Linked DNA regions of Struthio camelus. The protein of the gene in region 1 purifies or fractionates together with the protein of each later gene. This does not show direct contact. Links are inferred from orthologs where the notes say so. Each region holds a gene or a part of one and is shown in the gene's direction. Other genes may lie near its edges. The genes, in order: FBL, NOLC1, C1QBP and SNU13.

Evidence for each region.
Region 2: the proteins of FBL (region 1) and NOLC1 fractionate together in Homo sapiens (co-fractionation; 3 studies listed by BioGRID, with this or other methods). This does not show direct contact. The link is inferred for Struthio camelus from reciprocal best matches to the Homo sapiens genes FBL and NOLC1.
Region 3: the proteins of FBL (region 1) and C1QBP purify together in Homo sapiens (affinity purification with mass spectrometry; 4 studies listed by BioGRID and IntAct, counting the BioPlex papers as one, with this or other methods). This does not show direct contact. The link is inferred for Struthio camelus from reciprocal best matches to the Homo sapiens genes FBL and C1QBP.
Region 4: the proteins of FBL (region 1) and SNU13 purify together in Homo sapiens (affinity purification with mass spectrometry; 5 studies listed by BioGRID and IntAct, with this or other methods). This does not show direct contact. The link is inferred for Struthio camelus from reciprocal best matches to the Homo sapiens genes FBL and SNU13.

Annotation. Positions count from the first base shown.
Region 1 is NC_090974.1:162,883-170,338, reverse strand, and holds the start of FBL (rRNA 2'-O-methyltransferase fibrillarin), read left to right. Parts: upstream 1-4,454; 5' UTR 4,455-4,505; coding exon 4,506-4,515; intron 4,516-5,758; coding exon 5,759-5,833; intron 5,834-7,154; coding exon 7,155-7,313; intron 7,314-7,456. Other genes in the region: COX6B1 (cytochrome c oxidase subunit 6B1), read right to left, coding at 1,169-1,274.
Region 2 is NC_090948.1:23,817,551-23,824,633, reverse strand, and holds the start of NOLC1 (nucleolar and coiled-body phosphoprotein 1), read left to right. Parts: upstream 1-4,071; 5' UTR 4,072-4,143; coding exon 4,144-4,254; intron 4,255-4,658; coding exon 4,659-4,714; intron 4,715-5,185; coding exon 5,186-5,307; intron 5,308-6,902; coding exon 6,903-7,018; intron 7,019-7,083. UniProt on the Homo sapiens protein: Nucleolar protein that acts as a regulator of RNA polymerase I by connecting RNA polymerase I with enzymes responsible for ribosomal processing and modification.
Region 3 is NC_090957.1:13,521,513-13,528,403, forward strand, and holds the start of C1QBP (complement component 1 Q subcomponent-binding protein, mitochondrial), read left to right. Parts: upstream 1-3,879; 5' UTR 3,880-3,900; coding exon 3,901-4,159; intron 4,160-4,540; coding exon 4,541-4,691; intron 4,692-5,191; coding exon 5,192-5,282; intron 5,283-6,325; coding exon 6,326-6,421; intron 6,422-6,891. Other genes in the region: ATP-dependent RNA helicase DHX33, read left to right, coding at 1-126.
Region 4 is NC_090942.1:56,644,088-56,652,024, forward strand, and holds the start of SNU13 (NHP2-like protein 1), read left to right. Parts: upstream 1-4,922; 5' UTR 4,923-5,252; coding exon 5,253-5,255; intron 5,256-6,289; coding exon 6,290-6,410; intron 6,411-7,499; coding exon 7,500-7,762; 3' UTR 7,763-7,937. Other genes in the region: MEI1 (meiosis inhibitor protein 1), read right to left, coding at 1-44, 1,628-1,751, 2,129-2,245.

The DNA of each region.
Region 1 (7,456 bases):
GGGCCCAGGCGTCCGGGGAGAGACACCTCGGCTTCCGGGAGCCCCTCTAACCCCCCTCCCAAAGGGGCCCAGGCGTCCGGGGGGCCCAGGCGTCCGGGGAGAGACACCCCGGCTTCCGGGAGCCCCTCTAACCCCCCTCCACAAGGGGCCCAGGCGTCCGGGGAGAGACACCTCGGCTTCCGGGAGCCCCTCTAACCCCCCTCCCAAAGGGGCCCAGGCGTCCGGGGGGCCCAGGCGTCCGGGGAGAGACACCCCGGCTTCTGGGAGCCCCTCTAACCCCCCTCCCAAAGGGGCCCAGGCGTCCGGGGGGCCCAGGCGTCCGGGGAGAGACACCCCAGTTTCCGGGAGCCCCTCTAACCCCCCTCCCAAAGGGGCCCAGGCGTCCGGGGGGCCCAGGCGTCCGGGGAGAGACACCCCAGTTTCCGGGAGCCCCTCTAACCCCCCTCCCAAAGGGGCCCAGGCGTCCGGGGAGAGACACCTCGGCTTCCGGGAGCCCCTCTAACCCCCCTCCCAAAGGGGCCCAGGCGTCCGGGGGGCCCAGGCGTCCGGGGAGAGACACCTCGGCTTCCAGGAGCCCCTCTAACCCCCCTCCCAAAGGGGCCCAGGCGTCCGGGGGGCCCAGGCGTCCGGGGAGAGACACCTCGGCTTCCGGGAGCCCCTCTAACCCCTCTCCCAAAGGGGCCCAGGCGTCTGGGGGGCCCAGGCGTCCGGGGAGAGACACCTCGGCTTCCAGGAGCCCCTCAAACCCCCCTCCCAAAGGGGCCCAGGCGTCCGGGGAGAGACACCTCGGCTTCCAGGAGCCCCTCAAACCCCCCTCCCAAAGGGGGCCCAGGCGTCCGGGGAGAGACACCTCGGCTTCTGGGAGCCCCTCTAACCCCCCTCCCAAAGGGGCCCAGGCGTCCGGGGGGCCCAGGCGTCCGGGGAGAGACACCTCGGCTTCCAGGAGCCCCTCAAACCCCCCTCCCAAAGGGGCCCAGGCGTCCGGGGCGAAAGGGGGGCCCAGGCGTCCCTACCCACCTAGTTCCGACAGCTGGTTTCGAACCGCTTCCGGGTGCGGAAGCGGCGCCCGCGGAGCCTCCCCCATCCCCAGCGGGGCCCCGGCGTCCGGGCCTCCTGCCCCCCGCCCCCGGAAGGGGCCCAGGCGTCCGAGGGGCCCAGGCGTCCCTACCCACGTAGTTCTGCCAGCAGTTCCTGGTCTGGTTCTGGTTGGGGAAGCGGCTGTCGAACGGCGCCGTCCGGTAGCGCTGCAGCTTGGCCTCGATGTCGTCCGCCATCGCTGCGGGGGGGGGGGGGGGGAACGAGAGCTCGTTAGCGGGGGGTTCGTTAGCGGAGGGGGGTCGTTAGCCGGGGGGGGGCCTTAGCAAGGGGAGCTCGTTAGCGGGGTTCGTTAACGGGGCTTGCAAGCGGCGGCGGGGGGCGTTAGTGGGGTGTGTTAGCAGAGAGGCGGGAGCGGGGTTCGTTATCGGGGGGGACTCGTTAACGGGGTTCGTTAGCAAGGAGATGCCAGCAGGATTCATTAGCGGGGCTCGTTATTGGGGGGCTCATTAACAAGGTTCGTTAGCAAGGAGATGCTAACAGGATTCATTAGCGGGGCTCGTTATTGGGGGGCTCATTAACAAGGTTCGTTAGCAAGGAGATGCTAACAGGATTCATTAGTGGGGCTCGTTATTGGGAGGCTCATTAACAGGGTTCGTTAGCAACGAGATGCTAACAGGGTTCGTTAGTGGGGCTCGTTATTGGGGGGCTCATTAACAGGGTTCGTTAGCAAGGATGATAGCTTCTTATTAGGGTTCGTTAACAAGGGGCATTAGCAGTGGAGGTGCTATCAGGATTCATTAGCAGGGGGTTCATTAGTGGGGGGGCTCGTTAGCAGGTAGTTTATTAGTCGGGGGGGGGCTAATTAGCAACGTTCATTAACTAGGAGGCTCATTAATGGGGTTCGTTAGCAAATAGGTGTTACGGGGCGATTTGTTAGAGGGAGTTCTTGGGGGGGGTCGTTAGCAGGGCTCATTAACAGCGATCGTTAGTGAGGTTTGTTAGCAGGGGGCTCATTAACAGGGTTCATTAGTGGGGGGTTCGCTAAGGGGGGTCGTTAATGGGGTTCGTTAGCGGAGCATGCTAGCAAGCTTCATTCACAGGGGTCGTTAGGAGGCTCGTTAGCAGGGGGGCGCTCGTTAGGGCTGGAGCTAACGGGGGCTCCCCGAAACGCTGCAGGGCTGGAGCTGGGCAGGGAGAGATCCCAGTGCGCCCAGTGCCCTCCCAGTAAGCCTGGGTTCCCCCTCCCCAGTGCTCCCAGTAAGCCTGAGTCACTCCTCCCAGTAAGCCTGGGTTCCTCCTTTCCCAGTCCTCCCAGTAAGCCTGAATCACTGCTCCCAGTAAGACTAAGTCCCCCCCTTCCCAGTGCTCCCAGTAAGCCTGAGTCATTCCTCCCAGTGCTCCCAGTAAGCCTAGGTCCCCCCCTTCCCAGTAAGCCTGAGTCACTCCTCCCAGTAAGCCTGGGTTCCCCCCTCCCCAGTGCTCCCAGTAAGCCTGGGTCCCCCCCTTCCCAGTGCTCCCAGTAAGCCTGGGTTCCCCCCTCCCCAGTGCTCCCAGTAAGCCTGAGTCACTCCTCCCAGTAAGCCTGAGTCACTCCTCCCAGTAAGCCTGAGTCACTCCTCCCAGTAAGCCTGAGTCACTCCTCCCAGTAACACCGAGTCTCCCCCTCCCAGCACTCCCAGTTAGCTGCCCCCCCTTTCCCAGTGCCCCCCCAGTGCTCCCAGTAACCTCACTCCCGCCATTTCCCAGTGCTCCCAGTTCCCCCCCCCCACCGGCCTCCCAGTCCCGCCCTTTCCCAGTGCTCCCAGTAGCCCCGGATCCCCCCGCTTCCCAGCGCTCCCAGCACCCCCCCCGAGCCCTCCCAGTGCTCCCAGTTCCCTCCCAGTGCCCCCCGCCCCCCTCACCGAGTCGCGCCGCTCCCTCAAAGTGACTTTCACCGCCGCCGCCCTCGCACCGGAACCAGCGAGACGTCGCGAAAGCGCAGAGCGGCGCCGGAAGTGGCGCGGTCCCCCCCCACTCTAGCGGCCCTCAAGGGGCGGGGCCACAGAGATGAGGCGGCTAGAGAGGCGGCCGGGCAGGGAGGGGGAGCGGCGAGGAGGACCGCGGCGGCCATAGAGAAGAGGCGGGAGGACAGAGCGGCGCCGGCCGCCGGGGGGGAAGTGGGCGCCGAGAGGGGCCCTAAAAGCCCCCTCCCCCGGGGACCCCCAAATCCCCCATTCCTACCCCAAAACTCCTTCCAGTACCCCCCAGACCCCCCAAATCCCCCATTTCTGTCCCAAAACACCTCCCAAGACCCCCCAGAACCCCCCAGATCCCCCATTTCTGTCCCAAAATACCTCCTAGGACCCCCCCAGAACCCCCAAATCCCCCACTCCTGCCCCAAAATACCTCTCAGAACCCCCAAATCCCCCTTTTCTGCCCCAAAACACCTCCCAGGACCCCCCAGAACCCCCATTTCTGCCCCAAAACACCTCCCAGGACCCCCTAGGACCCCCAAATCCCCCAATCTTGCCCCAAAATACCTCCTAGGAACCCCCAGAACCTCCATTGGTGCCCAAAACCACATCCTAGATCCCCCCAGAACCCCCCAAATCCCCCTTTTCTGCCCCAAAATACCTCCCAGGACCCCCCAGATCCCCCATTTCTGCCCCAAAACACCTCCCAGGACCCCCCAGAACCCCCATTTCTGCCCCAAAATACCCCCCAGGACCCCCAAATCCCCCATTTCTGCCCCAAAACACCTCCCAGGACCCCCCAGAACCCCCATTTCTGCCCCAGAATACCCCCCAGGACCCCCAAATCCCCCATTTCTGCCCAAAAATACCTCCCAGGACCCCCCAGAACCCCCCAGATCCCCCATTTCTGCCCCAAAACACCTCCCAGGACCCCCCAGAACCCCCATTTCTGCCCCAAAATACCCCCCAGGACCCCCAAATCCCCCATTTCTGCCCCAAAACACCTCCCAGGACCCCCAAATCCCCCATTTCTGCCCCAAAAAACATTCCTAGGATCCCTCAGAACCCCCCAAATCCCCCTTTTCTGCCCCAAAATACCCCCCAGGACCCCCAAATCCCCCATTTCTGCCCCAAAACACCTCCCAGGATCCCCCAGAACTCCCCAAATCCCCCATTTCTGCCCCAAAATACCTCCCAGGACCCCCCAGAAGCACCAAATCCCCCATTTCTGCCCCAGAATACCTCCCAGGACCCCCAAACCCCCCATTTCTGCCCCAAAATACCCCCCAGAGCCACCAACCTCTCCCCCCCCCCCCGTGCCCCCTCCCTCTTTGGGAGCGGTGTGGGCACTTCCGCCCGGCCCCGCGCGGCGTCGGAGGGGGCCGCGGCGCATGCGCGGGACTCCGGAACGGAGGGGGGCGGTGGAGCCGCGCCGTGACGTCAGCGCCGCGCAGGCGCTTCCGGTTCCGGGGCCCCGAGAGCGGCGCGTGCGACCCCGCGTGGAGCAGCGGCGGGATGCGGCCAGGTGGGGGGGGGGGGGAACTGGGAGGGACTGGGGCGACTGGGAGGGACTGGGAGGCACTGAGGGGCATTTAGGAGGGGCTGGGGGCGACTGAGAGGGCCTGGAAGGGACTGAGAGGGCAACTGGGAGGCAACTGGGGAGGACTGGGGGCAACTGGGAGGGAGCAGGGGGCACTGGGAGGGACTGGGAGGGCTCGGAAGCAACTGGGAGGGGGATGGGGAGCCCTGGGAGGGAACTGGGAGACATTGGGAGGGAACTGGGGGGTATTGGGAGGGACTGGGAGAGACTGGGGGCAACTGGGAGAGACTGAGGGCAACTGGGAGAGATTAGGCGGGACAAGGAGGCAACTGGGGGGAGTGGGGGCAACTGGGAGGGAGCTGGGGGCACTGAGAGGGACTGGGAGGGCTCGGAAGCAACTGGGAGGGGGATGGGGAGCCCTGGGAGGGAACTGGGAGACATTGGGAGGGAACTGGGGGGGTACTGGGAGGGACTGGGGATATTGGGAGACCCTAGGATGAGGCTAGAGAGCACTGGGAGGGACTGGGAGAGACTGGGGGCTTTGGGAGAGACTGGGAGGGAGCTGGGGGGGACAGGGAGGCAACTGGGAGGGAGCTGGGGGTACTGGGAGAGACTGGGAGGGAGACCCTAGGATGGGGCTAGAGGACACTGGGAGAGACTGGTGGTGTTGGGAGAGGCTGGAAAGGACTGGTGGGCACTGGGAGGGAACTTGGGGGGGTACTGGAAGGTGCTAGGAGGGAACTAGGGGACACTGGGAGGGGCTGGGGGACACTGGGGGGCACTGGGAGAGGACTGGGGGACTTTGGGAGATGCTGGGAGGGACAGGGAGGCAACTGGGGGACACTGGGAGGAAACTGGGGGGGGGAACTGGGAGAGGTGGGAATGGACTGGGAGATGCTAGGGGGGCTAAGGGGACATTTGAGGGCCTGGGGGCTACTGGGCATACTGGGAGGGACTGGAAGCGATTGGGGGTACTGGGGGGGGGGAATACTGGGAGACAGAAGGAGACTGGGAAGGAAATTAGAGCAACTGGGAGGGAACTGGGCAGACTGGGAGCAAACTGGAGGTGATTGGGGATGCTGGGGGGGGATGCTGGGAGACAGGAGGGGACCGGGAGGGATATAAAGAGACTGGGGGGGAACTGGGCAGACTGGGAGGGAACTGGGGCGGCCTCTGCCTGCTGCCCAGTGCTCCCAGTTGGCCCAGTTTGAGCGCCCGTCTCCGACAGGGTTCAGCCCCCGGGGGGGCCGCGGCGGCGGCTTCGGGGACCGCGGGGGACGCGGCGGCTTCCGGGGGGGCCGAGGTGAGTGTCGCCCCCTCCCAGTACCACCAGTGCTCCCAGTATGACCGGCGCTGCCGGCCCTGGGGACGCCAGAGCCGGGCACGAAGCTCCCCGCACTGTCCCAGTCCGCCCAGTGGGGCTCGGGGCCCCGTCCCAGTCCACCCAGTAGCTGCCCAGTTCCTCTCTGCGTTCATCCCAGTCTGCCCAGTAGCTTTCCCACCCTGTCCCAGTCCGCCCAGCAGCTCCCTTGTCCCCTCCTAGTGCTGCTCCATCCCACCCCAGTCTACCCAGTAGCTCCCCAGTCCCATTCCCAATCTGCCCAGTTCCTCTCTGCTCTCAGTCCAGTCTGCCCAGTAGCTCTCCTGCCCTGTCCCAATCTGCCCAGTAGCTCCCCAGTCCCATTCCCAGTCTGCCCAGTTCCTCTCTGCGTTCATCCTAGTCTGCCCAGTAGCTCTCCTGCCCTGTCCCAGTCTGCCCAGTAGCTCACCGGTCCCATTCCCAGTCTGCCCAGTTGGGCACTAGTTCCATCCCAGTCTGCCTACTTTCTGCTTCTTGCTGTCCCAGTCTGCCCAGTTGCTCCCCCGTCCCTTCCCAGTCTGCTCAGTCACTTCCCCATCCTTTCCCAGTCTGCCCAGTCATTCCCCGGTCCACTCCCAGTCTGCCCAATGGGGCTCCCCCACCCCTTCCCAGTGCACCCAGGAGCTCCACCGCCCCCTCCCAGTCCGCCCAGTTGCTCCCCCATCCCCTCCCAGTTGCTTTCCCATCGTTTCCCAGTCCGCCCAGTGGCTCCCCCATCAGCTCCCAGTCACTCCGCCGTCCCCTCCCAGCCGCTTTCCTGACCCTTCCCAGTCTTCCCAGTCCTCTTGGTCGCTTTCCCGTCCCTTCCCAGTCCACCCAGTGACTTCCCTGTCTCCCTCTCAGTCTTCCCAGTCCGCCCAGTCGCTCCCTCTCCCCTTCCCAGTCCGCCCAGTCGCTCCCTCTCCCCTTCCCAGTCCGCCCAGTCGCTCCCTCTCCCCTTCCCAGTCCGCCCAGTCGCTCCCTCTCCCCTTCCCAGTCCGCCCAGTCGCTCCCTCTCCCCTTCCCAGTCCGCCCAGTCGCTCCCTCTCCCCTTCCCAGTCCGCCCAGTCGCTCCCTCTCCCCTTCCCAGTCCGCCCAGTCGCTCCCTCTCCCCTTCCCAGTCCGCCCAGTGGCTTCCCCATCCCTTCCCAGTCCGCCCAGTCGCTCTCTCTCCCCTTCCCAGTCCACCCAGTGGCTTCCCTATCCCTTCCCAGTCCTCCCAGTCGCTCCCCAGTCCCCGTCCTCGTTAGGGGCCTCGTCAGCGCCGCTGGCCTTGGCCCCGCAGGTGGCGGGTTCAAGTCCCCCGGTGGGGGCGGCCGCGGCGGTTTCGGCGGTGGCCGAGGAAGAGGAGGGCCCGGCCGGGGGGGCCGCGGCGGCGGCCGGGGGGGTCGCGGTGGCTTCAAGGGCGGCAAGAAGGTGACGGTGGAGCCCCATCGGCACGAAGGTACCGGGGGCCCAGGCGTCCGGGCGGGCAGCAGCACGTTTGGGGGAAAAGGGGGCGGTTTGGGGAGGACGGGGGTGGTTTTGGGGGGCGCCGTGGGGCGGTTGGGGGGGCGCCGTGGGGCAGTTGGGGGGGATGGAGGCGGT
Region 2 (7,083 bases), on another chromosome or scaffold:
TTCCTCCTGGCCACGCTCCCCAACCTGCCTGAGGTTTTTACAGCAAAAATGTGCTAACACAGCTTTGGCCCTCACACACAATTTTGGAATAGACACCAACTCTTTGCTCAGACTTAACCAGCTGGATCTAAACAATAAGTAAAGAAAGCACGAGTTCTCAGTGTTATTCAGCTTCCATCGTCAAGAACTTTGGGTTGGTCCCAAGCAGTTGAAGCAGTTGATAAGTTGAAGTCTAAAGCATCCTGGCAAATCCTCCTCCTCCTCTCACACCAAGGAAAAGTTTACATAGACTTGTCTTGGGGAGACAAAAAGAGAGCCCCTCTCATCAAGCCATGTGCACTCCTCAGCCACTGCAGCACAGTCAACTGGAAAACTGCCCCATATACTGATATACTGATCTCAGTATACTGAGATCAGATCTCACAGCTGTTCGCACTGCTGGAGCTATTGTTCAAAACTGCAGTGCACTGATTTGAAGGGCAATTTCACTTGTTTGCTGGATAGGGAGATAGGACTGGCTCTGCTCTGCCTGTCTCTGCCGATGACTTTCAGGGCAGAGACACCTACTTGTCACTGCCACATGCCTGTAAAATGGGAAGCTCTCTTCTTCCCCCGAGTACTGTGAGATTTGATCTACCCTTTCTAAACATGCTGAGATTCTATAAAGGTAGCAAAAAAAAGAAATATGATCTACAAAAATCACACCCCATCTTTCAGCACTGTCCAAATCCTTAGCTTTTCAACCTCGCTTCCTATACTAATGGCTTCTTGTGAAGCCAAACTGAAATCAACAGACATTCCAGAGACTTTAGCAAATAGGAGGGAGGCCAAAGCCCCTTCACATCTTACTATATTAGGCTGGCCTAAGTGAAAGATGTACATAGCTTACAATGAATTAAAAACAAACTGAAGAAAGACAGGTAGTCTTTCATGCTCGATTGCCCATAACTGACTGTATACATCTTAATCTTCCTTCTTCTGGTTTGCAGCAACGTTTGAACATAGTTATACTTAATGCATTTTTCTCAAGGGTCTGTCTTACCCTGTCCAAAGCAAAGGACTAGCTTGCTCTTTCCAGAACTTCTGCAAACCTAGGCAAGTAGTGCAGCAACATTGCTAGGTACTTTTGAGAGCGATTAAAGAAAGGATCCAGCAAGCGTTTGAGTACCCATGCCACCTCTTCACTTGTTATTGGTCACGAAAAAGTTGGAAGAGCAAAGCTCTCTCATGTGAATGCTCACTCATGAGGTGAAAGATTGCTCTTCCGGGGGTCTTAATGAGAGAGATATGCCAGCCAAGAGGAAGGAATGAAAAGGAACAGAAACAGAGAAACAGACAGAAGCAAGCAGTGGCAAAAGTCAGTCAAACTTGGTTTGATGTAGCAGACCCCACTACTCCCACTAGGGTCTCCCACTACTGCCTTGGGAAATCCAGAACAAAATATGAGCTTTCTTTGTATGGTACCGCTCTACCTTGTCATCTGGAGAGTTATAGGCACAACCCAGGGGAGCACACCTGGATAGTTACATCTCTGAACAGAAGCACTCATCTAGCATGCGTGAACAGACCTAAATAGTAAAGGCCTGCAAGGAGAGGGAGATGCTTACTAACCAGGATGAGAAGCAAAGTGAGCCTGTGAAGCAAGTGTATTCTAAGCACAGCCAGTAATGCATTTCCCCAATTTCTCACAGCAGCAAAGGCTGCATCTCTTCATTTCTGCCTGAGACAACAAGGCACAGAACTTGTGCTGAGCTTTGCAGGTGAAGCTTGTGGCTACCTCTTACTGCTCAAAATAAATGGAAGCTATAAGAGCTCAGAGATATACTGGTTCCTGGGAGCAGTTGCCTTTCTGCAGCACAGACCTCAGTTATTCTAGGCACAATAGCTGCAGACCAGACGTGGGCGCCTGAGAACAGAGTATTCTCCCTGACAAAAATCAAAGATTGCACAAGCGCTGCAGGGTCTGAGAGTGCACATATTCAACAAGCCCTCAGTTGAGCACCCCTTCTCTACACCACAGGCAACAGCATCTTTACAGGATAACAGAAGCTCACATAAAAGTCAACCACTGCACGAGCTGCTTTTTTTCCCAGCACTGCAAAAGTGGCGTCTTCCCCAGACACCACAGATGTCTCTTGCTGGGCACACTACCTGCCCAAGCACACGTTCAAAAAGTACTACCTACTTGCATGCAAGAGGCACAGGACCACATGTAACTGGGCACAGCAGCATCTGGAGACAGCTAAGAGCAAAGGAATAGAGGAACATCAAGAGTACAATAGTACCCACCGACTGCTGCTTCTTTATCTCTAGCAGCTCTAACGCAGAACTTTCAGAACAGTGCTCTTTCTCATCTCCCTTTGTCCTTAGGAGGTTTTGCTGTATGCTCTATTGAAGGGGAGGGAGGGGGAAGAGAAGGAAGGGGTGGGGGGAAGCCCCATTACAAAGGTAAAGGGAACAGAGCGCTACGTTTATTAACGTATACCTTAAACAAAAGGGAAAGAACTTCAGTGAAGGAGAGATGACTAATTTAAAGTCATATTGTTAGACAGCAGCTGAATGAAATCTCTTCCTTGTCAGGGCCCTGAGTGCACTAACAGGCTTTAATTGCCCTGATCAGCCTCACCGGGGACTTCCACCCCTCACCCTGCTCATATGCCATGGAGCTCCATTTAAGCTCAGGCCTGAGCTTTCTGTGCTTGCTTACCTGACCTATTTTGCAGCTGTACCTGTTTCAAGTCCTGCCTCCAATCCTACTTCCTGGACTCTCCTTGAACTTATGCTGCAGGTAGCCTTATTCCCAGTCATTTCTCTAGCCCCATCTTGTAGATGGTGCACATTGTAGCTTTTGCTCCAGATCTGCTTCTGGCCCTACCTCCCTTTGCTCCTGAAGGGATTCCTTGGCGAAGTCCTAGACTTCATTCGCTGCCCACCTTGCTTGGGACTGACGGTGGATCCTGTTGCCAGCACCCTGCTCTGTTCAGATTCTGTGGTAGTGGGCCCTGTTGGTGAGGGCTCTGTCTGCACCAGGGTCTCCCTCAGCTCCTGGTTTATCCTCCTTTGTGGAGTGGCTCTGCTCTTTTTTCTCTGTGATGCTCCCCTTGAAGTGAACTATAACCAGAAGCAGACTCACACGTGGGAGAGGGGGAAAGGAAGGGAATGGGTTTAAGTTAACTGAAATATTCCCTCTTCCAGGGTCACACGCACACTCCAAGTTCCTTTGTCAGACTTGTCCTGGGTTCCCATGCCTTCTTCCTCTCTGCTGCAGACCTCTGATAGAATCTGGCTTCTGGAACAGTTCAACCAGCACACAGCCTACTCCCTGCTGTCCTCCTTAGGATCTTGTCTGGCAGGTCATTCCCTGCTCTCTTCTTTCTCCAAGGTCTCATAGCCCTGCTGACTGCAAGAGAGAAAACGGACACTGTTCTGGCTAAAGGTGAACCCTTATCTCTGAGGGCTCTAACTCACAGGTCCAAGTCAATCACCATCTGTAGAGTCCTTCTTGTCTTGTTCCTCCTACCCAGCCAAAATTACTGCCTGTCTTGCTGCCTTTACGTACAGGCATCGCTCTGAACACCTGATAGCAGAAAGTCAGCTCCATCTGCCTTCCTAGCCCCTCAGCCTAAGCCTGCTTTTGCACCGCAAACAGCACCCCGCTCCTGCCTGTGACCCACGCAGGGCCTGAGCACCAGCCCCGAGCCCTGAGCGGGGCCTTCCCAAAGCTCCTCGCGCCCAGGGCACGGCCACAGCGGGCAGATCCCTCCTTTGCAGAGCTTCTGCGAGCCCTTCCCGCGCACCCCCGCAAGCAAATCTCTCCTCCGGGCTCTCGCCAGCGCGCATCGACGTCTGCGCGCCCCCAGGCTCACCGGAGCGGCCCTCCCCTCGCCCGCCTCTCCGGCTACGTTCCGTCCCCCCCACCCCCGCATATCGCTCCCGAGCCGCTCCTCTCGCAGCCTGCCCTCCCCCGGGGCGGGCCCAGCGCTCCCGACAGTCCCGCCAAGATGGCGCCGGAACTTCACCGCCCTTCCGAGGGTGGGGGGAGGAGGGAGAGGCGGTGCGCGCGCCTGCGCGGGCGGGCTGGTGGATGTACGTACGTACGTACGTGCGCGCGTGCGCGCTGGCGGCACGTGGCGGCGGTGCAGCATGGCGGCGTGGCGCGCGGTGCCCAGTGACCTGTTCCCCTTCGTGCTCGCCTTCCTGCGCGAGAACCGCTTCGAGGGGGCGGCGCGCGCCTTCGCCAGGGAGGCGGGAGTGGTGAGCGGCGCGCGGGCTGCCGGCCGTTGCGGCCGTTGGGGCGGCGGCCGGGCCGGGCCCCGGCGCGGGCTGCGCGGCCTGGGCGGCGGCGGCGGCGGCGCCGGCGGGGGGCGCGCCCTGAGGACAGGGGCCGCTCGGGAGGCGGCGGGGACCTCGGCGGACCGCGGCGCCGCCGAGCCGCGACCGGCTGAGACGCGGGTATCCAGCGGCGCCGTGCCCCGGTTTGCTTCTTGGCTTTTAATGTGAGCGTGTTGGTTGCACAACCGGTGCGCTCTCCTGGCTGAGTTTGCTGTAGGAGGCAGCTGTTCGTCCGCAAGCGGGTCGCAAGCGGTTCAGGAGTTACCCTGCGGTGTTCTCCGTCAGAGCGCTAACAGTCGACAAACTTTCTGTTTGTATTCCTACAGAAAGACCAGGATCCCAATGCTGCCTCTCTCTTAGACGTCTTTAGTTACTGGCTGAAGTAAGTTTGCTGCCTCCTGAAAGATTTGCTGAAGGGTGCTTTGCTTATCTACCCTGGGGACACACGGCTTGCAAAACTGAGCTTTCTTCGGCACTGATCTGCAGTCTTGCTGATAGCTTGTTTGGAGAAAAAGCTTTTAAGCCTGTGGATTAAGTGCTTCAGTGAAAAGTCATGTATGCGGTGATGCTGTTGTAGATGCAACTTGGATGGTGGTGATGGTACAGGGCAATCATAACATCAAAAAATAGTGGCTAAGACTAGTGTATGGGTTTTAATATTTGAATAGTAACTTTTATAGCAGTTTTTGTTCTTTTAGACCCGTCAGTAGCCTTAGGTTTGGTGCTGTAACAAAGAATAAAATAGAATGCTGGAGAAGTGATTGTTCCCGAGGATAACATTTTACTTTCTCAAGGCTGGGAGGACATAAAGTCAGCAGAAACTTTCTTTGGAGCCAAGTCTTTCTCTTTGTAGGTCTCCTGCTGCCAAAAAGAGAAAAAGTGTTCCCAATGGATCTCGTGCAAAGAGGAAATCTTCCTCAAGCAGTGATGACAGCTCCAGTGAGGAAGATGAAACACCCCCAGCCAAGAAACCAGGTAAGATTTGTAAAAGTTCTTAGGGCAGATGTGCATTATGTTCGAAAATTTCTTCGTGATGTGGATATAGAGCTCAGTTTCTGCTCATCTGAAGTCTTTAAGTTGCTGTCAAGGATTGGCTTTATATTGAGTGATCTTGGTTTTGGTAGATCTTCTGCCCATGACTCCCATCTGCTTTTGTAGCCTGTGTTCCTCCTCCTTGAGGGTGATTTCTCCGTCCAGTTGTAATTGAAGTAGATGGAGTTTTGAATCTGCTAGAAGCCTTTAATGATTTGATTTGTCTCTGTTGACTCAGGCTGGTGGAGGCATTAGGCTGTAATGAATTCTGAAGGTGCTACTGAAGTAGCAAGTTCATTATATTATCTATATTGCGATTCTGCTGTCTAAATACTTACTGTTGTGATATCCAGGCAGAGCTACTCTCATCCACTTCAGTGCTTTCAAAGTCTTGTTGATTTAAATATTGAGTGAAATTGTTTGAATGCATATAAATTGGGCTAATACTTGGAGAAGGAGGTACTCCGTGATTTTTTCTTCCTTCTGTTTCCCTGGGACTCTCAGTTCCTGTGGAATCCTTAAAGAATAGCTCCTTGTCCTACTGTTGTAGGACAACTGATTCAGGGTATATTCAGGGTACATGTGCTTGCGCGTTTCTTAAAATACACGTAATTTGACAAAACTTATACTTGACTTGGCGTTATCAGGCTTCTTTGTGTATTGATGGGCATCGTGACCTATTTGAGGCAGGACACTTGTGGAAGAGAGACTTCAGAGAAATGGCAAGCACTGTTAATCAGTTGCAGGCTTACTCTGCTGCTTGTGTGAGGTTCCTACCCTCCTTTCTCAAGCCTGTGTCCTAGTGCTGTCTAGAGATAAGTCCCTCCGCTGCATGTTGGCAGGTGGTGAGCTGTGTTTCCCCTTTTTTAATCTGGAATTGCTTTTATGCCCTGCTTGAACCACTGCGTACTCAACTTGACGTGCATCTAGCAGCAGATTTGTGGGAAAAGAGTAGTAGACAGGAAGAGGGAGACACCCAGAAATAAAACCGGTCTTTAATTCAACCTAACCTGAAGGTGAATTTGAACTGAGGCCTGGTTTTGCTTTGAAAAGGGAGGTCAGAAATATACTTTGAGGTGAAATGATTTATTAATGATGTGCAGCAAAAGAAGCAGTCAGTAACCAGAAAGGAGTAGACTTGGCTAAAACAAGTTAAGCAATGAGTCTGGAAGCTCAAAACAGCATTGCGCTGGTTCTCTTTGGAAGTCTGCACTTGTTAGGCAGTTTTTTTAAGCTGAAAACTGTGCAGGCCCAGTTAATCTCCTCTCAGTTTGTGGGGACACTCTGTACATGGGGTGAAGGTTTTGGTGATAACGTCTGCACTTAAACATACGTGTGACAAGGACTGAATGAAGCTGGAATTTTTTTATTCCTTTTGGAGTCTTCTGTCACACTCCGCTTGAGAAGCTAAGGCCTGAACTTCAGCTGTGATTTAATAACCTTCATTTATCTTTTTGCCCTGACACACAGTAGTCCAGGATATATGTATATGAAAGTTGTGAATTCACTTATCAGTGTGTGCTGTCCCTTATTTGCAGCTAAAATAACAGCTGTGCCCAAGGTGAAAGCATCTCCACCAGCCAAGAAGGCAGAGAGCAGCAGTGAGGACTCCAGCGATGATTCAGACTCTGAGGAGGAAAAGAAGCCAGAGAAGGTCAGCTTTTCTTTCCAGCCTCTTTCACGCAAGTTTGACAGTGATGGATAAAAGTAAATTTGACC
Region 3 (6,891 bases), on another chromosome or scaffold:
GTTTACAACGGGCTGCTTCACACCAACAAGTGCTACATGCGGGATCTCTGTGTGGTGGATGCGGACTGGCTGTATGATGCAGCCCCTGACTATTTCCGCAGGAAGCTCAGAACAGCCAAGAACTGACCTGCAGGCCTGGGGCTAACAGGACCAGGATTTTTAGGCTCACCTAATGAGGCTATTTTTTGTTTTGTAATGAATGTATGGGAATGGTAGAGCTTTGCCTTGTAAATCGGGTAAAAACCTTAGAGGAAAAATGGCTTCTCTGTGAGAGCCAGACCTCACAAGTCTCCATGGCTTAGAACAATCATCCTTTATAGCAGTTAATCTGTAAAAGGGAAACATAACAAGTACTCTGTGTGCACGCGTGTGTGTGTGTGAGAGTGATAAATCTGTGTTGGGGGGGGGGAAAGGGAGCTGGTATCAGATTCCAGTTTTTAACACTTACTAAACTTTAACGAGCTTGTATACGAAGAAATGAAATCCTAAGAGCTCTTCTGAGCAGACTTGGTATTTTTTGATGATTGTGCTTGTATCCTTAGCAGGTTTTATTGGCAAAAAAAGGAGAAAAAAGTTTTAAATCTCTACATACAGGGAAAAAATGCCTTTTTTAAACTATTTCTAGAAGGGAGGTGCTACTGTCTTTTACCTCATTAAACATCTTCCTGCCTGCATGTCATATTCACCACGTCATTTGGGACCAGCTGAAAGCTAGTAATGGCGTCACCTGCTTGGACAGGTCTTCATTGCCTGTGTCTGTGTCCCAGGGGCTGGTAGTATTTTCTCGGAGGGGCTGTCCAGCCACCTGTGCATTTGATGTTGCTTTTGTTCTCCCTTTTGCTGTTAGGGCATGCAATTCCTCTGTGTCTGATGCACGTGGAGGAGGCAGCTGTAGATTCTCAATATTTGGCCCCACGGTTCCACGTGGAAAGATGCAATCTGCTCTGTCTAGAGCGATTTTCTTCCTCTGAAGAGCCAAACTTCTTAAAACAGGAGGAGGGACTCACTCCTGGGAAGGATCCAGCGTTTTAGCAGCAAACTCTTACGTCCTTCCCCGCTCTGTATCTGGACACTTCTGGCTTTGGAGTTGGCACACCGTCCACAATAGCTAGTCAAGCTAGTTTGAGGCGAACTCAGCAAACCAAGTACGAAGATGTAGTTTAGACTCTTAGACTTCCTTTAAAGGCACTGGAATCATCAAACCTTTCTTCTGCTCTGACACCGGTGCTTCTTTCCCCCTTCCGCCCCCCCAGGCCCCAATTATACTTTGACTCTCCATTAGAAGTTTGGAGCTTGGCGTTGTTTGTCAAGAACCATAGATCTGCCATTAGTATTTATTTTTATTTTTCCATATCCCTTTGGCATCTAACTATCTTTTTTTCTTCTTATTGGAGAGAAGTGGCAATAAGAAACTTAACCCTCTTTTTAAATACTGTAATTAAGGAACTAAGACCACTCCAAAGGTAAAACTTGTTCTGTAGTGTGAAGGAAAATGGGTTGGTTACATTATGACTGTGTGTGGGTGGAGAAAAAATTTAAGTTGTTTTTAAATGATGCCCTAAGTAGTTCTAAAATAACCTCTCTGGGAGAGGTGACTTCCAGTTTCAACAGAGTCTGTTGACACAGTGTATTAGTTTATACAGATTTTTGGATGAGTTGCACTAAAGCAGATTTGTTATAGAGTGGGAGAGAAAGCCGTTCTGTAAATACGGTGTCATTATATAATACAGTGAGGTTAGCTAACATGGGCTGTGACGGGATTTTCACCCTTTGACTTAAGTGGTGTTCAGTTCTTGCGTTCTTCAAGCATCAACTTAAAACAAAAATAAAAGCTCATGGCATTTTAGTGGGACTGCTCAGGGATGCAGTCATATTGGCAAGCCCTTACTCACTCCATTTGCTTGGGGAGTAAATAAACTGCTGGCTTTGCTCGTGGGATCTGTGGGAACAAGCTGCACTTTCCAGTTAGCAAAATGTCCTTTCTGGTTGCACACATCACAGTTACCCAGCACATTGTAATATGCCTTCTCTTTGGGCTCCTGATTTCGACTTACCTTGGTTCTCTCTTTGAAAACTGGGTCAAATACCTCTTAAAAATAAAAAAAAAATGGAATTTCACTTTTGCTGGTCTGCAAATTGCTGTCTCCAAAGAGAGTAGATAGGGATCCAGTGTACCAAGAACGGTCTTGTCTCTCAGCCTGTTCCCGGAAAGGGTGATACTGAAAGTTTGCGGGGGTCCCGTGGAAGTGGGCTCGCGTCCGTGTTGTGCCTCTTGCGGTGTTGTTCCTTGGTGGTCAGAAACACACCAGTGTGCGGGGCACAGGCAGCCGTTGCCACTTTTGTATGTAAGAGCAGCTATCGGTTTTGATTCGTGTTTCAAGAGTGTGCTGTTATTTCAATTGTTCTCACTCGCACAAACTGCAGGGAATTATCAAAGCACTGTACGTAACTCTTCCTTGTTTATACAGACTGCATCTGTAGGGGAAAATGGAGTAAAAGCACATTTGGTTTGGGCAGTCTAATTAAGCAGACTGTTTAAGGGAGGGGATGGGGAACTGATTTAGAAGTAACTGATTTGTATATTTTTCCCACAATAAAGAGCGATGGCTAAAATCCAAGTGCCGGGTGTCGTTTTGTGAGGCGGGAAAGCTGCATAGCTAACAGAAATGATGGCAGGACGTTTCGGTACAAGTCCTCATAGTAGTGCTTGAAGTCCGGGGGCGAGTGTCCTGTCTTGACGCCGTCCGGGGTTTCGGTGTCACTGAAGCACTTTGGATTTTAAAGATAAAACCTTAGCAGGGGTTGGTGAGTCTGGGCTTTGCGTACAGGAGGGGCCCAGTTATTGCGGAGGCAGGACTCAAACACGAGCGGGGAGCAAAAATCCTGGTCCTTTGAAGCCATGATACCGGACCTCTCCAGCCAGAGCCTTGCTGCAAGCACTAATTGGCCTTTTGTGGGTCTGGTCAGAGCATTGGAACAGGTTGCCCAGAGAGGTGGTGGAGTCTCCTTCGCTGGAGATATTCAAAACCCGTCTGGATGTGATCCTGGGCAATACGCTCTAGAGGACCCTGCCTGAGCAGGGCGGTTGGACTAGATGATCTCCAGAGGCCCCTTCCAACCTCAACCAGTCTGTGATTCTGTGGTCAATAGGGGACAAGAGTGCCAACTTGGAGACAAAGCCCGGGCTTTAAGCCAGGAGGCAGTTTGCCTTGGTCGCGCCCCCTTCTAAAATATTTATTGCTAAAGGCCAAAAAAAATCATTTGTTTCCCCTTTCTGAGGCCTTGCCAGAAAGCTGGCTATTCTTCTAAGAAAGAGCCGGGAGGATATGCAGGGATAAAGCTTTCAGCGCTCAACGATGCTTTTTTCTTGTCGCGGTCAGTGTTGAAGCTTCAGCGTCGTTTCCACGCGCCTGGAGCTTTTCTGTGACCCTTTCAGCAGCGCCAGAGCCTCACCCGCCGAGTGCATGGGGTGGAGAGGTGGTAAATATTGATGTATATACATGTAATATTGACGTAGACGTGGTGCGTGTGCTGCTCTTGTGTATTGTTGCTCTTTGTAGCCCATCAGAGTAGTGAGCTGCCCCCTTGACAGGCGTCCCTCTGCAACCGCTGTAAGCAAGTCACTTCAGGTTTTCCACTTCCTTGTCTGTAAAGCGGAGGTAAACGCAAAGCTGGACCGAGCCCTGCTCTACCGCCTTCTGTTTGCATAAGCAGCGCGTTTCCGGGCGGGACTCCGCAGCTGCCGGGGGCGGGACTCGAACCCGCGGCGCCGGGCTCGGGGCGGGGCGCGCTCGCCGCTGCGCTGCCGCGAGGCAGGACGGGAAGGGGGCGGAGCGCGCTGCGCCGGAAGCACTCGCGGCACTTCCGGGCCAGGCGGTGTCCTCCGCTGCCGGCCTCGCCATGCTGCTCGCCCGCGCCCTGCGCCCCGCCGCCGCCGCCGCCCTGCGCCCGCCGCCGCCCCGCCACCAGCCCCGCCGCCCCCTTCTCCTCCTCGCCGCCCCCTCCTGCCCCCGCGCCCTCCTGCCGCCGCCCGCCGCCGCCCCGCTGGCGCGCTCCCTGTGGCAGCTGGGCGGCGGCGGGTGGCGGAGGGCGCTGCTGCGCCCGCGGCGGGGCTCGGCCGGCGGCGTCTCCTGCGGCTGCGGCGGCCTCCACACCGAGGGTGAGCCGGGGCGGCGGCGAGGGGAGGGAGCGACCCCCCCCGGCAGGAGGGGCGAGGGGGGCGGGGGGAGCCGCTCTGGGAGGGCGACGGCCCCCTGGGGGGGGGGGCAGGGCCCCCGTGAGGGGGGCGGGGGCGCGAGCGGCCACGTGCGCCCTCCCCCCCCCCCACGTGGTCGCGCGTGTCCCGGCCCGCACGTGGCGGGCGGGGGGGGTGCGACACGAGCGGCCTCGGCCCCCGCCGGGCCGTGCTGCCCCCCCCCCCCCCGCCACCGTCTCCCGCGGTGGCCGCGGGGGAAGGGGCGATCTGCAGCCCCTGCCCGCTCTCGAGGGGTTTCTTGCTTTTTTCCTTTCTTATTCACTCGCCTTATTGCTGCCTCCTAAGGAGACAAAGCGTTTGCAGCCTTTCTGACGGATGAAATAAAAGAGGAGAAGAAGATCCAGAAACATAAATCCCTGCCCAAGATATCTGGAGGGTGGGAGCTGGAAGTCCATGGCACAGAGGCCAAGCTGGTCCGGAAAATAGCTGGGGAGAAGTAAGTGCAAACGGGTGCTTGGCGTTTCTAAGGATTCATCTGGGCAAGCGTGTGTGCTTGACAGCAGTAATCACAATTCTTCTGTGTGTTCGTGTTGCTTGTGCCACTGTCTATCCAGGCTGCGCAAACTCTGGGTGTTGCATAGGCTCGTTATTTTACCATCCTGGGCCCAAGGTGTTTTTCTTACCAGTTGGCTTTGTTTTGTGTGTTGCAAAGATTTGTGAGATCTCCCTCCATTAAAAACATGAAATCAGTCTAATAAAACTTGAAGAACGCCCACCTGTTTTATTAGAGCGTGCATCTTAAACTCTAAGCTGCAATACATACCACATGAGGGAAGGACAAATAGAACAGAACATGTAATATGCTTTGAATCTCGTTCATGAGGTGTGAATTCAATGGCTGTAGTGCTGTCCCTGCTACAAAAGTTTCAAATACGAGAGATACAGTAAGTATTTTCTTTATTGTGTTTAAAATAATTGCTTATGGTTCTTTTGAAGGATAACGGTTACGTTCAACATCAATAACAGCATTCCGCCATCTCTTGAAGAAGAAGAAACACAAGAAGAGCAGAAACCTGATGAGCAGGAGGTAAACATAGTCTTTATGTACACTTTATTATGGATGTCAGCACACAGGAAAGTTAGCTGTTTGCCCTTAATGCTTTTTCTCTCATTTGATATTTGGGAGCATAAAGATAACATAACGCAGATTTTTCTCAATTTCCTGTTCTTTGGCTGTGACCCTCTTCTCTCTGTAGCAGGAAGACAGAGAGGGTGAGAGGGTTCTGTATGAGGAGAGATGAAAGGAACGGAGATATTTGACTTTATGGCTGCCTCTGTAACCTGCTACAATAAATACTGCCTTTTGTACTTTGCTTAGCTAGTGTAACTAATGGTACTGGTATGCCATGCCAACAAAATGCAAAACTACTCACATGACGTTGTTTGCATGGTTTTGTTGATTAGAAGAGTGTCGCATGCTCCTTTTTCATAAGACTGTGAGTAAAAGTACTGGTAAAACTAAGCGAGCAATGTGATTTGAGGCAGATGCCTAATCTACAGTGACATTGGTTGAACAAGTAGGGAATGAAACTGTACTGCATGTCTGTGGTTTATAGCAGTTACTCTGCGTTTTTTGAACGTTAGTGCTTATTCCAGTGCATTACTGCTTAGTACACTCAGCTGGGCGGGCTGGGGAGACTGTACGTTGCTCCCCATCCCTGGGCATGCCCTTATCTACTGAGAACACACAGTGCGCTTGGTCCGTGCGTGTGCATAGGAAGTCTTTGTGCACTGCCAAATGTCCCACGTGAAGGAGCGCTGGCGAGAGCAACTCCTGCTCTCAAAACAATTTACAGGGGGAGGAATCTGGGTGAGTTGCAGGCTCTCTGGGTTGTTAGTGATCGTTCTACCAACGTGACCAGATGCAGAATAGAGAAGGGGCTGAAGGGCCGTGGGTGAGGTTGGAGGAGGCTGCCTTGGCGAGGACAACTCCAGAGGCCCTCAAGAAAGAGGGTGACTGGGAACAACCTGGGTGCTGGATGGGCTGTGTTGCTGGGCTGTACCTTGGCTGCTTTAGCTCCCGTTCAGACTCCAATGCTGATGTGAATTTCTTTCTTACCTTTTACGTAGCCTGATATTACATCAACTCCAAACTTTGTTGTAGAAGTAATAAAAGATGATACAAAACAGACCCTTGTTCTTGACTGCCATTATCCTGAAGATGAGGTGAGTATTGAACTGCTCAGGTGTCAGCTACGGCTAACTCTGGCCTGTGGCTCACTGCACATCTCCTGCTTGACCACAGTGTAATTGTGCCACTGTTGAATCTAACTGCTCTAACAGTCTGCTGGTTTTCTTAATCTGCAGAAAATGCAGTCTTCTCTTGCTTCTCTTGTTTAACACAAAAAAAGGCTTTAAGAGCCTGCAAGAATAAGCTCTGGGGAGATGTTCCATTACATTCCTTATATCCTGACCTTGCTTTTCTAATCAGCTACATATAGGCTAGCTTATTGAATTGGAGAAAGGAGGTATGGATTCTTTAACTGCATGGCAAATTGAGATAGGTAAACAAGAATGGCCTAAAGGATACATTTAATACAATGTATAAGTAACTTGCAAATCTCATGGGTGCTGAGGTGTCACAAAGGTGGAAGAGTAGTAGGGATTAGCCAAAAAAAAAAAAAAAAAGAAAAGAA
Region 4 (7,937 bases), on another chromosome or scaffold:
GAACAGGTCCAAGGCACTGCTGTCTTCCACAGTATGCAACATCCCTAAAAGATAAACAGCAATCAATTGTGGAACTCATTCCTAATTGTGATCATCAGTGCTGTAATGCCTTCTTGTAAAAAGAGCTGCAAATCCTTTTAGAACTGTTTTGTTTTTCCCCTGCTTCACATGACACCAACCTGACTTTGTCAAAGGAAGGGGGATGCTCTCAGGGAGGATCACAAAAGATGTCTCCACAAGCAAGGCACAGGGCGATTAAAACATTCAGCTGGGGCTCCATCTTACATTCTGGCACCAAATGCATCCTTGGTTCATTCAAGCTTTATCCATAATTTATGTATTATTACATATACCCTAAACTTGGACTGGGAGCCCAACTGCTCTAGGAGGTATAGCAAGTACACTAAAACCCAAAGCTATCCCCAAACCATTCAACTGTAAAGTCCTTAAAAGAGAGAGACAGGATTATTATTTAAAAATAGGCAAGAGCATTGAAATGCAAACACAACTCCCGGCTTCTGAGGTATTTTGTGTTAGGGTCATACAACATAGGATTGGACTGGTCATAAGCACTGCTCCATCCACATCTATATAGGATCATGTACGCAGACAGTGCAAACAAGAGAACTAAACCTGCAAAAAGGCTCTGTTTCTAACCTAGCTCCGTTTCCAACACATGCACAGCACAGTTTGTCCAACCCAACTGGGAAAACACTGTTTGAATTATTCAGTGTGTCAAGACATGGGAAGGGACTTGTAAGTCACTCCCCCTCCCCCCAAAGAATAAGAAACATCTGTGATGTGCAAATGAGATCTGGGAATTCAGGGAATCCAATATATTTACTCTTTGAAGGTTCTTGCATTCATACCCTCCATCTTTCTCTTCCTGCCTTGCTGTTTCTTCATTTAGACCGCTATTCCTTCTCTGTCAAGAGTTTAGTCAACATTTCAAAGACCTTTCCCACAGCTAGGCAAACAGAAACCACTAAGATATGTTTGGGACTACAGAGACTGTGGTTGGAAAGGCACTTTCTGACATCCCTCTGAACACTCTATTCTGTTGTGAGGCTGACCTCCAGAAAGAAGTGGGTAATAGAGCCCTACAGCCACAAGAATTTGTACAGATATAAAGTGATGGTGTAAAAAAACACCACGTAGGTAAGTATTTTGCACATTTGATATTAAATCCCACAATATCTTTTCAAGCTCACACTTTCATTTCTGTACCAATCTTCATGTAACGCTATAGTTCAGCAAGATGAAAAAGCACTGAGGTGTGACAGCAGAGTGGAAGGCGTTCTGGGAAGAGCAATAAGCGAGAGCGCTCCATCCAGCAAGACTTTAAAGACAAGCTATGATACTTAGGAAAAGTGCAAGAGCTTTATTAAAATGCTAATTCTGCTCCTTGGTTAATAAGGAAATTAATTAACCTATTCTAATCAAATGGCAGCTCCACAGGGAATATAATACACCTAACATGGAAAGGTGGGAGCACAGAAGTAGTTATTAGTAGTCTCAATATTCTTTTTTTTTAACCCGGAGAAACCTCACATTTCTTCATCCATTCAAAAGCAGATGAGAACTGCCCTCTCTCTGCTACTGTATTAGGCCACGAGGGAGCTCTTACCAAAGAGAGTTTCTATCAAATGAACACAAAGCCCTTCATCTGGTGCCAGCAGCTGGACGACCGGCAGCGCCTGCCAGGCCAAGGCATCCCGGAGACGGGAGAGCATGTGTTTCTTACGCACCAACTACAGATCAGAGACAAGCCATTAGCGCTTAGGGCCACGCAAAGCTGCCGCTCGCACCATCCTAGGGGCAAGAGCGTCCGGACCTTACAGCACGTCTGGGCCCAAGGGCTTAGCACCAAGATACACCCAGCCACCTCCGAGCCCCGAATCCGAAGGAGGAGATGGAAAAGCCAGGGAAGCAGGGTGGGGTGGGGTAGCCCTCTCTGTGGGGCCAGCACTGAGGCTGAAGGCTGTGAGCGGCCAACGCTCCGCGGCTGGGGGAGGCCTGGCGGGAGGCTCTCAGCGGCCAGCCCGGCCCAGCGCAGGCAGAGGTGTGTCCCCCCTCCTCCACCATCACCTCCCGGGGGGAGGGGGGGGGCGGCGAGGGCGCTGCCCACCGAGGCGCCGCCGTCGCCCAAGGTCTCCACAGCGCAGGCGAGGCAGAGCGGCGGGCGGAGCGGCAGGGCCCAGCGCGCGCCGTGGCGGCCGGACAGCCTCGCGCACGCCGCCGCCATCGCCCAACGGCTGCCACCGCCAACGGCCGCCGCGCGGGCGGCGTGCGCATGCGCGGGGGCGCCTGTTTGGGGGGGGGCGGGGCGGCGGCCGTTGCCGTGCGACGCCTAGTGAGCGTTATGCCTCCCCGGGCGCCGCGGGTCTCTGCGCAGGTAGAAGGACCTGCAGCAGGACAGGCTGGGGGTTGACCTGCTGGAAAGCAGCTCTGCGGAGAAGGGCCTGGGAGCCCTGGTGGACAACAAGTTAAGCATGAGCCAGCAATGTGCCCTTGTGGCCAAGAAGGTCAATGGGATCCTGGGGGCCATCAGGAAGAGCATTGACAGCAGGTCGAGGGAGGTAGTCCTCCCCCTCTACTCAGCCCTGGGGAGGCCTCCCCTGGAGTGCTGTGTCCAGTTCTGGGCTCCCCAGTGCAAGAGAGACACGGCACTACTGGAGAGAGTCCAGCGGAGGGCTGCAAAGATGATGAGGGGACTGGAACATCTCTCCTCTGAAGAAAGGCTGCGAGAGCTGGGCCTGTTCAGCCTGGAGAAAAGAAGGCTCGGGGGGATCTCATCAATGTCTACAAGTATCTGAAGGGAGGGTGTCAAGAGGATGGGGCCAGACTCTTCTCCGTGGTGCCCAGCGACAGGACAACAGGCAACGGGCACAAACCAAAACACAGGAAGTTCTGTCTGAATCAGAGGAAAAACTTCTTTCCTGTGAGGGTGACAGAGCCCTGGAACAGGTTGCCCAGGGAGGTAGTGGAGTCTCCTTCACTGGAGATATTCAAAACCCACCTGGGCACGATCCTGGGCAATGTGCTCTAGAGGATCTTGCTTGAGCAGGGAGGTTGGACTAGATGATCTCCAGAGGTCCCTTCCAATCTCAACCATTCTGTGATTCTTTGAAAGCCTGGTGGCGCTGCCCCACTGCCTGCCAGGAGCATGTTACCTGCAGGACGCGGGCAAGGGGGGGGGGGAATGCGCGTGCGGTGTCGCCCCCTTGAAGTGGGTGCAGAAAGGGGAGCAGCAGGGGTCCCGCTAGGGTCAGAGAGGGGGGCGCAGCAGCAGTTTGGGAGTGGACGTTCCCCATGCGCTGTGGTACAGGGACAGGTGGGGTAGGGCCTGCGCGGGACCAGATGGCAGCACCAGGGAAATAAAATACCCGCAGGGATGGGAGTAGCAGGGATAGAAAGAGTGTGGAAGAAGAAAAATGGTGTGAAAAGAGGAGAGGGGAGATGAGAGCAGAGCCAGGAAAGCCAGGAAACGGACTGGAGGGAGAGTCCAGAGTCAGAGCCCCTGTTGTAAGGGTGCGCAGGGGAGAACAAGGGGAAAGGTGGCAGGAGACCAAAAGAGCAAGAAAACCCTGAGCAGTGTCCTCTGGTTGCATGGGCACCTTCTGAGTGCAAGGCATGGCTCAACCTCTCCTCTGGTACCCTTTCATCCACGTGTGAGCCCTCAGCCCTTAGACCCCTTCCTTTTCCTTTTCCCCTGGTTGTCCCCTGTCGTGTTTCTATTTCACTTAGCTCCTTCCTCTCCCAAGAGGGCTTAATACTTTGTAGGGCCTGCCTAAAAGAAGGAGAAAATTTTCGTCCTTTACAGAGGTGGTCCCTCCACTGCAAACAATATCAAAATGAATTGGTTGTGTGTGTGTTAGAACCTTAAACTGGTACAGTCTATATGCAGTGTAGAATAGTAGGGAAAGTTAGCTTTCCTCAGCATCAAAGCCCCTTTAAAACGTAAACATCTGGGAGATCTCTATATCCAAGGATAGATGCTCAGGAATACGCTCACACCATATTCACAAAACTGCTAACAAGGAGACATGTACCCGTACAATATGGGCTGTCACCCCTATCTACAGAGCCTTGTCATTTAGTAATAATGTTAATCATAACATGCCGCTGGTCGGTATGAGCACCTGTGGAAATTGGTAAATAGCCCTTAGACTTTCAGCTTTATTTGGCAGAGGAAAAATGAAGAACGAGACATGATTTCTCAGTACCCTTCCATTTATATTTTACATTACAATATACATTACTGTAGAGTCTGGGTCGAAATGATGCTTTACGCATCCCCACAATTCCCTGGAGAAAGAAGTCTGTACTGTCATCCTCATTTTCAGAGATGAAGAACTGAAGCACAGAGAAGTCCTGATGGGCCAGGAGCAGACAAGCAGTCTCCCACTGAGGAGATGTGTAGCTGTAGTTAGTACCTCTCCAAAGTTGAGCAACTCTGCCTTTAGCTTTAGATATAGTTGAACTTTTCATGACTTCATTTTGGGTAATTAAGTCAAACACTTTATCCTCTTCTGCACTTAGAGTGGAACAAAGCTAATAAAGGTGGAATATAAGTGGGAAGAAAATAAATCTCAGAAAAAGCATGAGTATGTCTCTGTGTGCTGTAAATTGAACAACTCCCTGTCTCACGTAGTACTGTATGATGCAGAATTGTCTGCATACTGGTGTATTATGTGTCTGGGCAGGAATAGACCAGCCGGCAGGGAGCAGGAAGCCATCTCAGCTCGGCAGAACCCGGAGCTGTCTGGTGCGCGCGGTGCTGCTGTGCTTCCTGCGTATCCTTAAACCGGCAACCCCCCAGCCTCCACACCGGGAGCGTATCTGCAGTCACTCGGCGTTGGGGCACCTCTTATTTTTCACGCGCAGGTGGCCAACTAAGCGTCATTTGTATGCACGTTCTTGGGGTCGGAGGGCGGGGGGCCTGCAGACGAAACACGCTTGCGCCTGAGACAACGAGCAGACGTTTACCCGCCGCTGACGCCGTCGCGGAGCGCTCCCGCGCCTAGCGCCCGGCCTTGGTTTTCCCGTGGCGCCGACCCCACGGCTCAGCCCCCGCCCCGCGGCGCCGCCCCTTCCCGCCCCCCGGGCTCACCCGCACCTCACTTCCGCTGGCGACGCGTTTCTCCTCCGCCCGGCAGCGCGCTAACCTCTTCTTCCCCCCCCCTCCTCCTCCTCCTCCTCCGTGAAGCTTTCGGGCCGAGAGGACCGACGCGGACGCGTGCGGCGCGGCCATGGTGAGCGGGGCGGCGGGGGGCGCTCCCGAGCCCCCCCCCCCCACGAGGGGCCGTCGGGCTGGCCGCCTTCCCCCCGTCGGCAGCCCCGCTGCCTCCCCGGCGCTGGCGGGGGAAGCACGCGGCGGCGGGGCCGCCCCCACGCTGCCGAGCGGGGCGCGGCGGGGGAGGCCGCGCTTGCCGCGGGGGGGCTGCTGCACGCGCGCGGGCCGCTTTAACACGCGCGAGCGGGTGGCGGTAACTCGCGCGGCGTCTGCAGCATGGGGGCTGGGCGCTCTCCCACGCGTGGAGAGAGCGGGGGGGGGGGGGGCTGGCGCTCCGTGCCGTGGCCCGGGCCGGGAGACCCGGCGCCCGCCCTGTCCCCGGCTCTGCTGGCTCCGCGGAAGCAGAAGCATGTGCTCCCTGTGCGGAAGAGCAGCTTGGGGGCAGTGCCCTAGCTCCCCGTTAGGGCTGGCGGCAGGAGATCGCAGCCGCGGGACGCTGGAGCACTCCCTTCTAGACACTAATCGTGTTTAAGTGGTCAGCTTTTGAATGCGATTGAAAACAATTCCAGTTCCGCCAGTACTAGTTATTAATGCCTGTTATTACCATTCCAATATGCTGTTGATGTTAAAATCTAGAAGCTGTTTGTAATTTGCAGAAGTAAATCCGATACCTTACTCTTCTCAAGCTTTCTTTAAAATTAAGGTCTAAACTTGTTAAATTGTTGCTGGCGGCAACTTGCTCTGAAACACTTCACTTATATAGTATCTGGGGTAGCACATGCTTGAAGACTGCTCCTGGGTCACTGCTGCTAGATTACAGGATTGAAATTGTCCAGCGTTATGTGGCCCAGCAGTGGGGGCAGAGGTGCCGTTTCGTTTGAACATGAGAAATGAAATGCAATGGGATTTTTGGTGTACGTGCTGAGGAGATGAGAATAGTAAGCTGAGTTGACCCCAGCAGTTGATAAGTGTGATAGACTTAAGGCCTATGTAGCGTTGTTCAGAACAAAGCCTCCTTTGCTCCTTGTGTAATACTCGTCTCTTTTTCTCTAGAGCGAGGCAGAAGTGAATCCCAAAGCTTACCCACTGGCTGATGCACAGCTCACCAAAACACTACTGGATCTTGTGCAGCAATCCTGCAACTACAAGCAGCTACGTAAGGGAGCCAATGAAGGTGAGACCTGCCTGTTACGAAGTATGCTAGAGTTGCTTGAATTATCAAAAGAGCTTTGAGAAGCTGTGGCTGGAGGTTTGTCTTTTCTCTCCAGGTGTGGGCCACTAATTTTACATAGATCTTGGCTAATGCAAATATGCCTTGCTTTCCTTCTCCCCTTTGCCTGCTTAGGGAATAGTCAGGGACAGAATTCAACGGTAACGTTTTCAACCTTTATATACAGTTCTGGAGGATGCTCAAACTGTACTCCTGGTGTACTGTGTTCATGTATACTTTAGTGGTGAGGCACTGGGATTACCCGATGTCTAGTTAGTTTAGAATTATAAAATAATTTGGGTTTGAAAGGACCTGTGAAGGTCTCTGGTGCAATCTGTCCAGAGAAGGCTTTCTTTAAAGCTGGATCAGGTTGCTCAGAGCCTTGTCTAGTCAAGTTTTTAAAAAATCTCTAAGGATGAAGACTCCACAATCTCTCTGGGCCCCTGTCCTAGGGGGTTCTGTCCTGTATTACTCTCAACGGTGGAATTTTTTTCCTTATATCCCATCAGAATTTCCATGAGGCAACAGTCACAGACTGCAACTTGTCCTTTCACTTTGCACCCATGAGGATAGTCTGGCTCTATGCCCTTTAGGTAGTAGAAGATGGCAATGACATCCCTCCACACCTTGGCCTTCTCTTCTCTAGGCTAAACAAACCCAGATTCCTCAGTATCTCCTTGTCCGTTGTGTGCCCCGACCATTTTAGCTGTCCTGTGCTGGACTCGCTCTGCTTGTTGATCTCCCCCCTACACTTGAGGGCAAGGCTGAACCCAGTATTCCACATGCAGCTCGGAGTGCTGCGCATGGGGAATGATCCCTTCCCTGGACCTGCTGACTGTTTTGAAGGTCAGCTTTCATCTCTGCGCTGCTGACTGCCGCTCTGTTTAGTCTGGACTTCTTTCATGGCCCTGGAGCTGCCATTTTCCTTGAGCTGTCCTCATGCTACCACTGGATTTCCCGCTTGCTCATGCAAATTTCAACATCTATTAATCTTGCTTTTCATTAATGTGCTTTATAGAAAGCCCTAGACTTAATCTTAAGTTTCTTTTGCAGCCACCAAAACACTGAACCGAGGAATAGCAGAATTCATTGTGATGGCTGCAGATGCTGAGCCCTTGGAGATCATCCTACACCTTCCACTTCTCTGCGAGGACAAGAACGTGCCCTATGTCTTTGTGCGCTCCAAGCAGGCCCTGGGCCGGGCATGTGGTGTCTCTCGGCCTGTCATTGCCTGTTCGATCACCATCAAGGAGGGATCACAGCTAAAGCCTCAGATCCAGTCTGTCCAGCAAGCTATAGAAAGACTTTTGGTCTAAATGCCCATGAGCTTAAGTTTGTGTGGAATAGGACAAGCTGGAGTTGGGGGAAATAATGTTTAGCTGTAGTTGATGAGGTAATAGTTTTGATATCAATGTTTCATTTCAAAACACCTTTTTTTTTTTATTTGTTTAATAGTGACTTAATTCTGAAAGTGTTTCTGCCTCTTCTCCC